Linked DNA regions of Cricetulus griseus. The protein of the gene in region 2 interacts with the protein of the main gene of each other region in a pairwise test. Links are inferred from orthologs where the notes say so. Each region holds a gene or a part of one and is shown on either strand. Other genes may lie near its edges.

What was found. The genes of interacting proteins can lie anywhere in the genome.
Region 1: the proteins of Fhl2 (region 2) and Id3 interact in binary tests that used the Homo sapiens proteins (3 or more experiments, as listed by UniProt). The link is inferred for Cricetulus griseus from reciprocal best matches to the Homo sapiens genes FHL2 and ID3.

The regions. Positions count from the first base shown.
Region 1 is NC_048595.1:17,162,918-17,168,317, reverse strand, and holds Id3 (DNA-binding protein inhibitor ID-3), read left to right. Parts: upstream 1-2,247; 5' UTR 2,248-2,316; coding exon 2,317-2,616; intron 2,617-2,733; coding exon 2,734-2,793; 3' UTR 2,794-2,816; intron 2,817-3,298; 3' UTR 3,299-3,808; downstream 3,809-5,400. UniProt on the Homo sapiens protein: Transcriptional regulator (lacking a basic DNA binding domain) which negatively regulates the basic helix-loop-helix (bHLH) transcription factors by forming heterodimers and inhibiting their DNA binding and transcriptional activity.
Region 2 is NW_023276807.1:5,337,541-5,343,294, forward strand, and holds the start of Fhl2 (four and a half LIM domains protein 2), read left to right. Parts: upstream 1-2,570; 5' UTR 2,571-2,881; intron 2,882-5,754. UniProt on the Homo sapiens protein: May function as a molecular transmitter linking various signaling pathways to transcriptional regulation. Negatively regulates the transcriptional repressor E4F1 and may function in cell growth.

The DNA.
Region 1 (5,400 bases), on a different chromosome or scaffold from region 2:
GAAAAAGAAAAAAAAAGGAAAAATAAACAAATAAATACACAAACAAACAAATGAGCTCAGTTTCATTAGCTCCACTTAACAGGCAAGAACACTGAGGCTCAGAGAATAATTAGTTTCAAGTTCTCAGTTAGTGAAAGAAAACAAATGAAGATTTCAACATGGGTCTGCCAGGCACTGAAGGCCTTGATTTTTCCAGAAGCTCCTGGCTTGACTGTTTTGCACAAACATACAGAAGTCTTCATGACAGTCAAAGAAAGGGCCCTCTGTTAGTTACTCGGGAGTCCTCACAGCTAAGGAGATTTCCCTTCCCGTGACCAAATAACTGGCATTTAACTTCTTCAGCATATAGAGACTGACTTGTGTTTTTACAGGTTGGATTCCCTTTGCCTTAGACTGAAAGCGCTGTCCTTGAGAACTTTAATATTCCCAGGAGAAAACTTTCCGAGGCTTTTTCTGGGACACAGGGCCCTGTGGTGTGATGGAAAAGAACGAGACTGGCTTTACCTGTGATGAATACTGGACATGTTTTTTATGCCCCCTCCCAGCCCTTTGCTATCCCACATGCCCTGTCCAACTGTCACACAAGCGTAGAGTTCTTAAGTCAGAAAGTATTTAAAGAACCCCTTAGTGCCATCTCTCTCTCTCTCTCTCTCTCTCTCTCTCTCTCTCTCTCTCTCTTTCTTGCTCCTCTCAATAGGCAAAGTGAGGGTATCATCGATTACTTGTCGATGACCAATGGCTGGCAGAGCTGGCTGATTGAACCCAGGGCTCTGACTTCCTAGTGTCCTTCCCACTGTTAGAACTGTCCTAGCTCAGAGGTCCCATTGTCCTGTTGAGAAGTGCCACACACTACTAAACACTTAATTGTTTCCTGTGTTAATCTCATCCCCGGGCATTGTGAGATTCTTGAGAGCAGAAGCCTGTTTCATGTGAAGCCTATAAATATTCACTAGGCTGATGAAGAAAGCACTCATGGCTGGGAGAACCTCACCTGGGCTTCTCCAAGATGGGACTCAGAATCTCCGAACTACAGGGTCTTTAGAGTCTGGGAAGTGGAGAGGAGACCAGCAAAGACTATGGGAGTGCACTATCCTTTTGCAATATGGGGTAGCCTGCCTGCTGGCTCTTCCTGACGGTGATGGAGCCACTTCAGCAGGATGAGAGTAATGACGTCCAGGTGGCTACCCTTCCACAGCAGAAAGGGACAGACAACCGAGGGAGCGAGGCAGTTGCTATTGTTTTCTGCACAGAATGTGGAAAGTGTGGGGAGGGAGGGAGGCTGTGCAAAATGAGGAAGCAAGTTAGAAGAGATTTGCTGACCCATTGGCGCATGTATGTGTGTGTGGAGGGGACCTTCTAAAGGGCTTACGCAGAAATCATTCCTTCTAGTCTCCGTATCGGAAACCTCCAAACTTCTAATCAAATTCACTTCCAAAGCACAACTGGGCATGCATTTAGCCTTAAGGGGGTTCATGGGACAAAGGTTCATGCTTTTTCTTTCTCTATGGAAAAGGCTTGGATTTAGGCTGCTTTCTTCTCTCTCTCTCTCTCTCTCTCTCTCTCTCTCTCTCTCTCTCTCTTAACCCCCCTTCCCCTGTTGCTCAAATAAATAATGTTCTTTGCTCAAGCCTCCTTTCCCCTCCTCCTTCTGCAATCTCAGCGCCTAGCCCAAATCTGTTTTCTTCATTGTAACCTCAGCTTCACCGCAATTAATTTTTTTCCCCTCTGGTCACAAGATAATTCCCGACGCCAGTGAGTCTGGAGGTCAGACGAGCAGCAAATTGGGGAACAAGGCGGCACTAATTCCTTACAAGTTTCCCTTGAAAATTCGAGAGAGAGAGAGAGAGAGAGAGAGAGAGAGAGAGAGAGAGAGAGAGACCTTCAGGGATTTATGATCACGGAGCTGTGGGTTCGAACCAGTGTTGGGCAGAGGGCAAGGGAGCTCAAGGATCTTGGGCGCCGCCAGAAAAGGCAAATTCTTAAAGTTAATGGTTTTGGTTGATTTTTCAAATCTCTGCTGGCTCAAGAGCCCCGCCTCTCCTCAGTCTCAGCGCTTCCTCATTCTTCGCATCCGCGCCTCAGCGGTCCTCGGCGTCAGACCAGCCCAAGGAAGCCTGTTAGCAATTTAAGCCCACTGTGGACGCCCAGGGTCGGGGAGGCGGTGCCCAGGGAGCGGGGTGGAGCCTGGCGGGCTATTTTGAATAAGGGGGCGTGGTCTCGGGGCGACTCTTTAAGAGGCGGCTGCAGCAGGCGTGCGCCGACTGTTTGCTGCTCTAGCTGTCGCCTCCTCTCCTCCAGCTTCACTCACTCTTCAACATGAAGGCGCTGAGCCCGGTGCGCGGCTGCTACGAAGCGGTGTGCTGCCTCTCGGAACGCAGCCTGGCCATCGCGCGGGGCCGCGGCAAGAGCCCGGCGGCAGAGGAGCCGCTCAGCCTGCTGGACGACATGAACCACTGCTACTCGCGCCTGCGGGAACTGGTGCCGGGAGTCCCGCGAGGCACTCAGCTTAGCCAGGTGGAAATCCTGCAGCGTGTCATAGACTACATCCTCGACCTGCAGGTGGTCCTGGCAGAGCCGGCGCCTGGACCCCCGGACAGTCCACATCTCCCGATCCAGGTGCGCAGGGGCGGCAGGCGGGCCTGAGTTGAGCTGCTCGTGCGGGCTGGGATGCTGCGGGTCTCTCCCACCGACTCCCCGAATGCCTTGGCTAACTCGCCCCCTATCCTTTCACAGACAGCTGAGCTCACTCCGGAACTTGTGATCTCCAACGACAAGAGGAGCTTTTGCCACTGACCCGGCGGTCCTGGCACCTCCCGGTAAGTTTGCTTCTGGCATGGGCAAGGAGGCTTGCTTGGGAAATCCTGTGGTTGACAGGACTTTGCAAGGCTTAGGGTTTCCTTGGTTTAGGGAAACCCAAGCGAGGAAAGAGGCAAGAGGCTTGTCGGTGGTCACTTAAGAGTAAACGACAGTATCAGTGTCAATATCACGTGCATGTTAAAGCGTGCTGCCTCTGCTCACCCGGGGTCCTGGGCAAGCGGGCGTGCGGATCGCACCAAATACTCTTAGTAAAGGGAGCCCCCTTTCCACTAGTGTCGTTTCCAAGCGGGAGGGGGAGTGGTGGCTCCGCCTGTGGTCCTTTGGCGCCAACTGGGTGGAGGCTTGTGTGGGGCGCGGAGTTATCAGCTGGAGGTAGAGACCAAGTTTCCTCCCTGGCGCCGGCCAGTCTGCGGCGGCCTCCGCCTGGGCGCGCTCGGCGGAAACTGGCGGCTCCTTCACTCTTCTCTTCTCCCCCGCCCAGAACGCAGGTGCTGGCGCCCGTTCCGCTTGGGACCCTGGGACTCTGGGACCCTCTCTCCGGCCGGAAGCCCGAGGGCATGGATGAGCCTCGATCTCGCCCGGCCCTCTTCACTTCCCCTAAACCCCTGCCTCGAGGCTGGACTGGGAGCCCGAGAGCGAAGGACTGAACTTGGGTGGCCTGAAGAGCTAGCGCTGGTCAGCAGCTGGGCAACGTCACCCGGTCCCCACCCTGACTCCCAAGTCTTAAAAGACTGGCTTTTCCGAGAATGGGGGTGTCGAGAATGGGGGCGAGTGTGGCTGCCCTGCACACTGCCAAGGCAGCGTAAGAGCTGGTTTTCTGATCTCCTTGGAGAACGGCTCTGCTGCCCTGATTATGAACTCTATAATAGAGTATATAGCTTTTGTACCTTTTTACAGGAAGGTGACTTTCTGTAATCATGTGATGTATATTAAACTTTTTATAAAAGTTAACATTTTGCATAATAAACATTTTTGAACACTTTGTGTATTATATGCGGCGTCTCCCCATTTCTTATGTGGCTGTCTTTAGGAAATATCCTGGGATCTTGGGAGGAACAAATTTGGGTACCCTCTTAGGGTTAAGTTCCCAGCTGAAGCTGAGGGATAGGGTGGATATTTGAAAGGGCTAAGAATGGGAATCCCCAAATCCATTGGGGGTTGACAGCAAGTATCTGCAATCCTACCCTGTCAATTACAGAAACCCGATGCAAACTACCCAGCAGTTTAAGACTGAATTTTTCTTTCAGTCCCTTGAAACAATTACCTTCCTGGCTCTTTGCAGGGGATGTGGTAAGAGTGGCCCCATTTCAGAGATGAATAAACTGACTGCCAGGCCTGGTCTCAGTTCCCTCATGCTTTCTGGTCTAGCTTCCTTCTAGACTTCCAAAACCAAAAAACCCTCAATTGCTGCGCATAGCGATAACACACCTTTAATTCCAGCACTTGGGAGGCAGAGATAGGCATTTCTCTGAATTTGAGGCAAGCCTACGTAGGTAGTGAGTTCCAGGACAACCAGAGCTACATAGTAAGAGCCTGTATTGGAAAAACCAAACCAAAACCAGGGTCTCTCAAATCTTCAGCCTCTGTCGGAGATGCAGGCTAGCTGGGAAGCAATGCTGCACGTTCCCTTCGAGCTCTAAACTTTTAACTTTGACCTGTGAGTTTGAGAAAACTGACTAGGATTTTGTTGGGCATGACTAGGATCTTACTGGCCAGCAAAGAAAAAGACATCAGCCCATGTCCCATCTATTCACCCCCAACACGGTGCCTCCCCAGGTGGGATGCACCAGGCTCCTGGCCTCACTGAATTCCTGTTTATATGATCTCTGTGTGTTGGGTCTTGGCATAGTTACTAATATTTCATAACAAAAGGGTCATGTCATTACCCTTTGTGCATTAACCCTAGTAAGCCTTTTGGGGTGAACCAGGGTCAAAGGGGGGGGGTGCAACCTCTGTCTTTGCCAATCATCCTACAGTCTGATGAATAGTTTTTAATCCTGATCTGGGTCCTGATTTCCTCTGATGAGTTGAAGGACGATATGAGCATCCTTCCGAAGGCACACATGAATTTTTTAAGAGTAATAGCAGACCTCCAACCTTCTGGAGGTCGGGAGTTCCCATGTGAGAAACCCTTGCCCCAAATAACCTTAAGACTGGTTATCTCCACCTTGGATGGTGTGTTAGGCTGTGCTGTGTTCTCTGGATACAGCCCATCGAGGGTGAAAATCCCGGACTTGCTGAGTACTGCAGGCTACAGACTGTGCCTCCAGTGAGCCTCAGTTCTGAGGGACCTTTTTTACTCTACCACAGTAGTCTGCCTTCTGTTCACTTAGAAGTTAACACCAGGGAAAGCTGCAGGCTCATGTGCCATGTGACCTGGAGCAAGCCACTTCTCTCTGAGCCCAGCTGCCGGCTAGGACCCAAGATAATGATGGGAAAGTTCTTTGAAATGCATCACACACCTACGAGGCATTATTAAGCTAATTCCAAGGAAATTGCTTGTCAAGACTCCCAGGGCTGAGCAGTTCAGGTGGCCAGGACAAAAGCTTAGACCATCCCGCCAATCCATTAGTCATTAGAGAG
Region 2 (5,754 bases):
CTCAATTTACCATAGAGCTTTAGTTACTATAAAAATTCACAGGTGAAACCTTTTTATATATACATCTTAGCTCCGTCTCCTTCCCCTACCTCAATTTATCTTGAATTAACCCTGACATGTTACTTCAGTGCTCAATACTTTGGGAAAGTTTCTGAAAAGCAAGGGAGCTTTAAAGAAGAAGAAAAAAAATGTATATGTAATTCCATATAAAAATAAACTACTGACTTATTAATGTCATCAAATACCCTATCAATGCCAGAATTTCCCAGATTGGCTCATACAAAATTTCTTCTTTTAATAGTTTGTTTTGTGATCAAAATCCAAGCATAAATTGTGGTTAGTTGGTTGTTGGTGTTTTTTGTTTGTTTGTTTGTTTGTTTGGTTGGTTGGTTGGTTTTTGCTGCATTGTCTTCTCCTGCTGTCTCGCTTAGCATTATTGTAGAAATGGGTAAGTCTGTTTTGAGAGACTGAATTTTCCTCACCGTAAGACCATTGAGGTATTTAATAGCTCTCTAATGTCGAAAGCAAAATACAAGAATAAGTCACAGGACTTTTTAATAAAGAAAGCAACATAATCAGTGTGGTACAGCTGCAGCAATTAGTAACTCACACAATTTAAACAAATAAAACAAAAGGAAGCAGGAAGGGGATAAATTGGTTTATTTTTTGAACCTGTATTTAAAACCGAGGCTTAAGAGACCTAGACCATTTCGATACCTGTAACTTTTCATAGAGAAAGTAAATGTTAGTAGCTTCAGAGCGATTGGTCTGTCTACATACACTTCGCTTTGAATCCACAGTTCAGCCTATCTTGACCATCAGTGGTAAGTCACTTAGGGTATGCCTCACTTTGAAGATGGGGATAGGAGTGGAATGGATTTCCTGTGTCAAATCTCAGCATGTCCATTCTCCTCAGAGAAAAGTGTTAACCACAGGGAATCACCTGAGTGAGCCACAGGAATTGGGAATTTCTGATCCTTTACGATACTGAAATGGCCTTGCTATCTCATAGACACCGGTGAAAATCTCAGCTGGTAAAATCTGTTTTTCGAGACAGGGTTTCTCTGTGGCTTTGGAGGCTGTTGTCCTGGAACTAGCTCTTGTAGACCAGGCTGGTCTCGAACTCATAGAGATCTTCTGCCTCTGCCTCCCGAGTGCTGGGATTAAAGGGATGTGCCACCAACACCCAGTTTGAGATAACTAACTTTACATAGAGGGGCTGAGCATCCTGGGGAGGCCATATATATATATACATATATATATATATATATATATATATATATATATATATATGATGCCGAGTAAGTGACAGGTCATGTGACCCCCCTTGCCTCTCATGTTCTGAGATTCCATCATGGGGATCCTCTTGTGGTGCCAGTCAGGAAGTATCAATGAGAAGAAAGCCATCCCACAGCTCTCCCTGCCTTCTCTAACATATGTTACCCCGAGCTCCCCTGGAGAATGCCTACACCCAAAACCATTGTGATGGTCCTTCAGTCGATTGGCTGAACTTGGGAACCCCTAGGAGACACACCTCTTTGAGGGCAGTTCCAGAGAGGTTTAACCGAGGGGCAAAGACTGACCCCCAAATGTGGACAGCACCTCTCAAGAGCTGGCCTCTCAGACTGGATGAAAAGGGGAAATTAAACTGTTTCCTGACTGAGAAGGCAATGTGACCAACCAACTTGACATTCTCACAGTGGCCATGCCATCTCAGTGATGACCAGCTGTATTCCTTCATAAACCCTGCAGCCAAACGAATCCTTCCATTAAGTTGTTGGTCAGGTTACAGCACTGAGAAGTCCTTGCCTCTGCCACTGCATGTGGGCCCCCCACCTACTCAAGAGCAGATGCTGCCCTTCCTAGACGTGGGGATGCGGGTACCTTCCACCACCATGTTGGACATTGCCTCCTGTCCCTACTAAGGGCCAGCTCTGTGCAGAAGACCTTGGCTTTGAGCATGAAGGACACATTAAGCCCTTCATTTGCTTTCTGCCTGCATGGAGCCACTGAATGTCAACAGCTAAACAGCTCTCAACCTTCTCTCAGTCAGCTACCTGGTGGAACAGAGTCATTAAAGATTCTTTACGTCATTGGTTGGGTTCATTCCACCACGGAGAGGTATTTGCAAGGGAAGGCCGGGGAAACTACCATGCCAGTGCATGCCCTACGCACACATCGTTCCTCCCCCAAATCTCCAAATGGCCCACCCATGCTTGCCCAGACGGCGACCAGGCGCAGACCCAGCAACCCAGAGGAGGGTCCTGGTGAGAATAGACCCATGTCATTCTGCCCTTAGGTGACAGCGGCCACAACCCTCTGCACTGCACTGCCACTGGCCCCTGGAGCGGAGGCCAGGGCGCAGGGAGGCTTGACTCTGTGCGCCACACACCGGGAAGTAAAGAAGAACGTTAAGTCAAACAAAGGGTCCGCAGCAGCTGCAGCAGGGGGGAACACGCGACGACAGGCGATCGAGGGGCGCTCGCCACCGCGCCCTGCTCCCTTGGCCCGCGCGCCCAGCCCGCCGCCCCTGCGCGTGTGTCCTTATATGGTCAAATGACTCGGCGGGGGTTCTCGAGGGCGGGAGCCGAGCCGGCTGCACTCCGCCTGCTGAGCCGCCGCCGCCGCCACCACCACCGCGCAACAGTCCTCTGAGTGCCCTAGACCCCGGCCCCGTCTTGCGCGAGTACTCCTGCCGCCGCCCAGTCCACAGCCGGACCTGGTACACAAGAATAGCCAGCAGACAGCTGCCCTAGCACGCGTGGAGAGACACCGGTGGCCAGCGTACCCTGACCGTGGGGCGGAGACCCGGCAGACCCGAGCAGGGCTGTGCAGACCGCACCCCTGTAGGGACCCAAAACGGGAGGAACAGATCCTGGAGGTAGGAGAGCCCTGTTTTGCAGAGGACACCAGGGATGGGGACCTAAAACGGAGAGCGTAGATCCGGGGAGAGGAGAGCCTAGCTGGGCAGGGGATACTCAGAAAGGGGACTCGAAATGAAGGGGAAGGAGGGGATACGGAGAGTCATGGAGACGGTGGACCGGAAACATGAGAGAAGAAGGGGAGTCTTGAAGGGGAGACCTCAGAACCGGGGAGTTGATCTACAGGAAGAGCGGATGCGGGGCAGAGAGGACTAGAATCATGAGTGCTAGGGACCCGAGCACAGGAGAGTCTGACTTGGGAATGGTGGGGAAGGGGACCATTGGTGTCCAGAGAGAGGGCTACAGCCCTAGAGGAGTGAGTCGCCGCCAGGTGGTGAGAGACGATGAGTCTCCCCCAGAGGCAAAGTGGAACTGGTCTCTGAAGTCTATGGAAGGGAGGTGACACGCTGGTCAGCACGTGGATGGCCAGGCATTTCCCTTGGGAAGAAATGGGAGTTTGCCTGTGACCACACATCTTGACTCATCCACAAAATTAAAACCTGAGCCATAGGGTTAAAGAAAAATAATAATAATAACGCTTTGAAATGAACAGAATTCTAACTGATAGATTGCAGTCTTGTGATGTCTTGTGGAAAGAAACGCTTCAATGCTGTTTCTGGTTTTAAATGAAGCATTGGTCGTATTTGCTTGATAGTCTCCAGTTGTGTCTCTGGAACTCACCGAAGCAGGCATTTTATGAAATATGCAGCTGTCTTTGGCAAAGCCAACTTGTGGCGTGCACTTTCTTGCACATATTTTTAGGAAGTAATGAACTACAATTTGGGCTTACAGTCATGATGAGATTGTCTTCAAAACACTACTCTAAATGTGTGTCATGTCGTGGTGTTGCTCTGCTTATATGTATATTTTGCAGTAATGTATGTGAGGAAGGTTGCTTGTGGTAGTGTTACTGTGGTTATCGTTTGAGATAAATCCTTACTCTGTAGCTGGGAAAGCCTGGAGTTTACCATGCCATCTCAGGTGAACTCACACTGGTGCCTATCCTCCTGCCTCAGCCTCCAAAGTGTTGCAATTACAGGAATGACCACGAATTCCTCAAGCCCCCCTCTCCCTCCCACAAAAAAACCCAATTTGCCCTAAGGCTTAGAGTTCCCAACCCATTACCTAAAGGTCAATAAAACCAAATTTAAAACAGTCATTTTTCTCACTCTTTTTTTCAGATTCATCTCTCTCCTAGTTTTTAACAGAATAGTGTGTTGCATTGGTGGCCCCCATCCTGGCTTCTCTTTGTTCTACCTCCTTGCTGTCCGGCCTAACAGATACAACATGGATAGGTGTAGAAAGCTTGGTTGGCAGATGCACCTGGAACAGAACCAAGATGCCAGAATTAACACTGGGACCTCTTAGCCCACATGGCCTTGCCTAATTCACAAAATCTATTGGTTGCTCAGTTTCCTCCGAGAGAATCAGATAACAAAGACGCTTTCCCAGCATACATATATACACATATGTGTGTATATAGATGCATATATATCCTGCATATTATATGCAGCATATGTAGATTTTATAGCCTCTTGTTCACAGATAAGAAAACTGAAACAGAATGGTCGAAGTAACTCTGATGTCCAAAGTTTCCCAGTATGTAGATTGTAGCCCTGAGAGCTGTATCTGGAGATTTCTACTCTGTACTGGGCCTCACTGTATGAATATTTTGTTGAGGCCCTATGCGGCATGTTTTTACCTAAGACTGTTAAATGCCTTCAATACTAAGCACTATCTCAACTTCAGAGAGAAATGCGTAGCAGGATATAGAAGAAAAAAATTCAGAAAGCCAAGAGGAGTGGATTCTCCCCCTGTTCTGCACAGAGGGCTGGCTACCCAGCACCTAACACACCACGTCCAAGTCACTGTTCTATTGTTGTGAGAAGACACCACGACCAAGGCAACTCTTATAAAAGAGAGCATTTAGTAGAGGGCTGGTTACAGTTTCAGAGGCTTAGTCCATTACTGTCACTGTCACAGCAGAGAGCATGGTGGCACTCAGGCAGACTTATGCTGGAGACGTAGCTGAAAGTTCTATTTTATGATCCACAAGTAGCAGGAAGAAAAATGGGGCTGAGTCTGGCATGGGCTTTTGAAACCTCAAAGCCTACCCTTAGCAACACACTTCCTCCATCAAGACCACACCTCCTAATCCTTCTAATCCTTCGGAGAATTCCACTTCCTGGTGGCTAAGCATTCGAACATATGAGCCCACAAGGATCACTCTAATATAAACTACCACACACCAGCTTAGCCATTTGTAAGCAGCTGTGGTTCAGATATGATTTTTCTTCAAGACTCTTGTGTTGGAAGCTTGGTCATCCTTGGGTAAATGTTGGGAGGTAGGGAGTGAAGTCTAGAGGTTAGAGAGCTGGTCCATCAGCTAGGAGTACTTACAGAGGGCTTGAGTTGGACACACCATTCATGAACCCCGGTAACTTCTACTACAAAAGAGCCTATATCTTCTTCTGGCTTTCATGAGCACCTGCACACACTCATGCAGACATGTACACACTATGTAAAAAAATAAAAATGAAAGAACTTAGGAGAGGGGCCCTAGTCAGCAGAAGGCCCACCCTCGGGAGGGACAGTGGTACCCATCTCTCTCATTCTCTGCTTCCTTTGACAGTGTGATCTGGCTATGTCCTTAGTGAGGTCCTCACCAGAGCAAAGATGAGACCTTTGAATATCCAGAATTACCAGTTACAGAACAGCAAAAAGCGGGAGAGTTTAAGAAGTTGGAAAGTGTCCTTGGAGCCAGCAAATATAGCTTGTCATACAACTAGACTGTCAGTCAAAGAAGATATAGACCTGTGCTTGCTGCAACCTT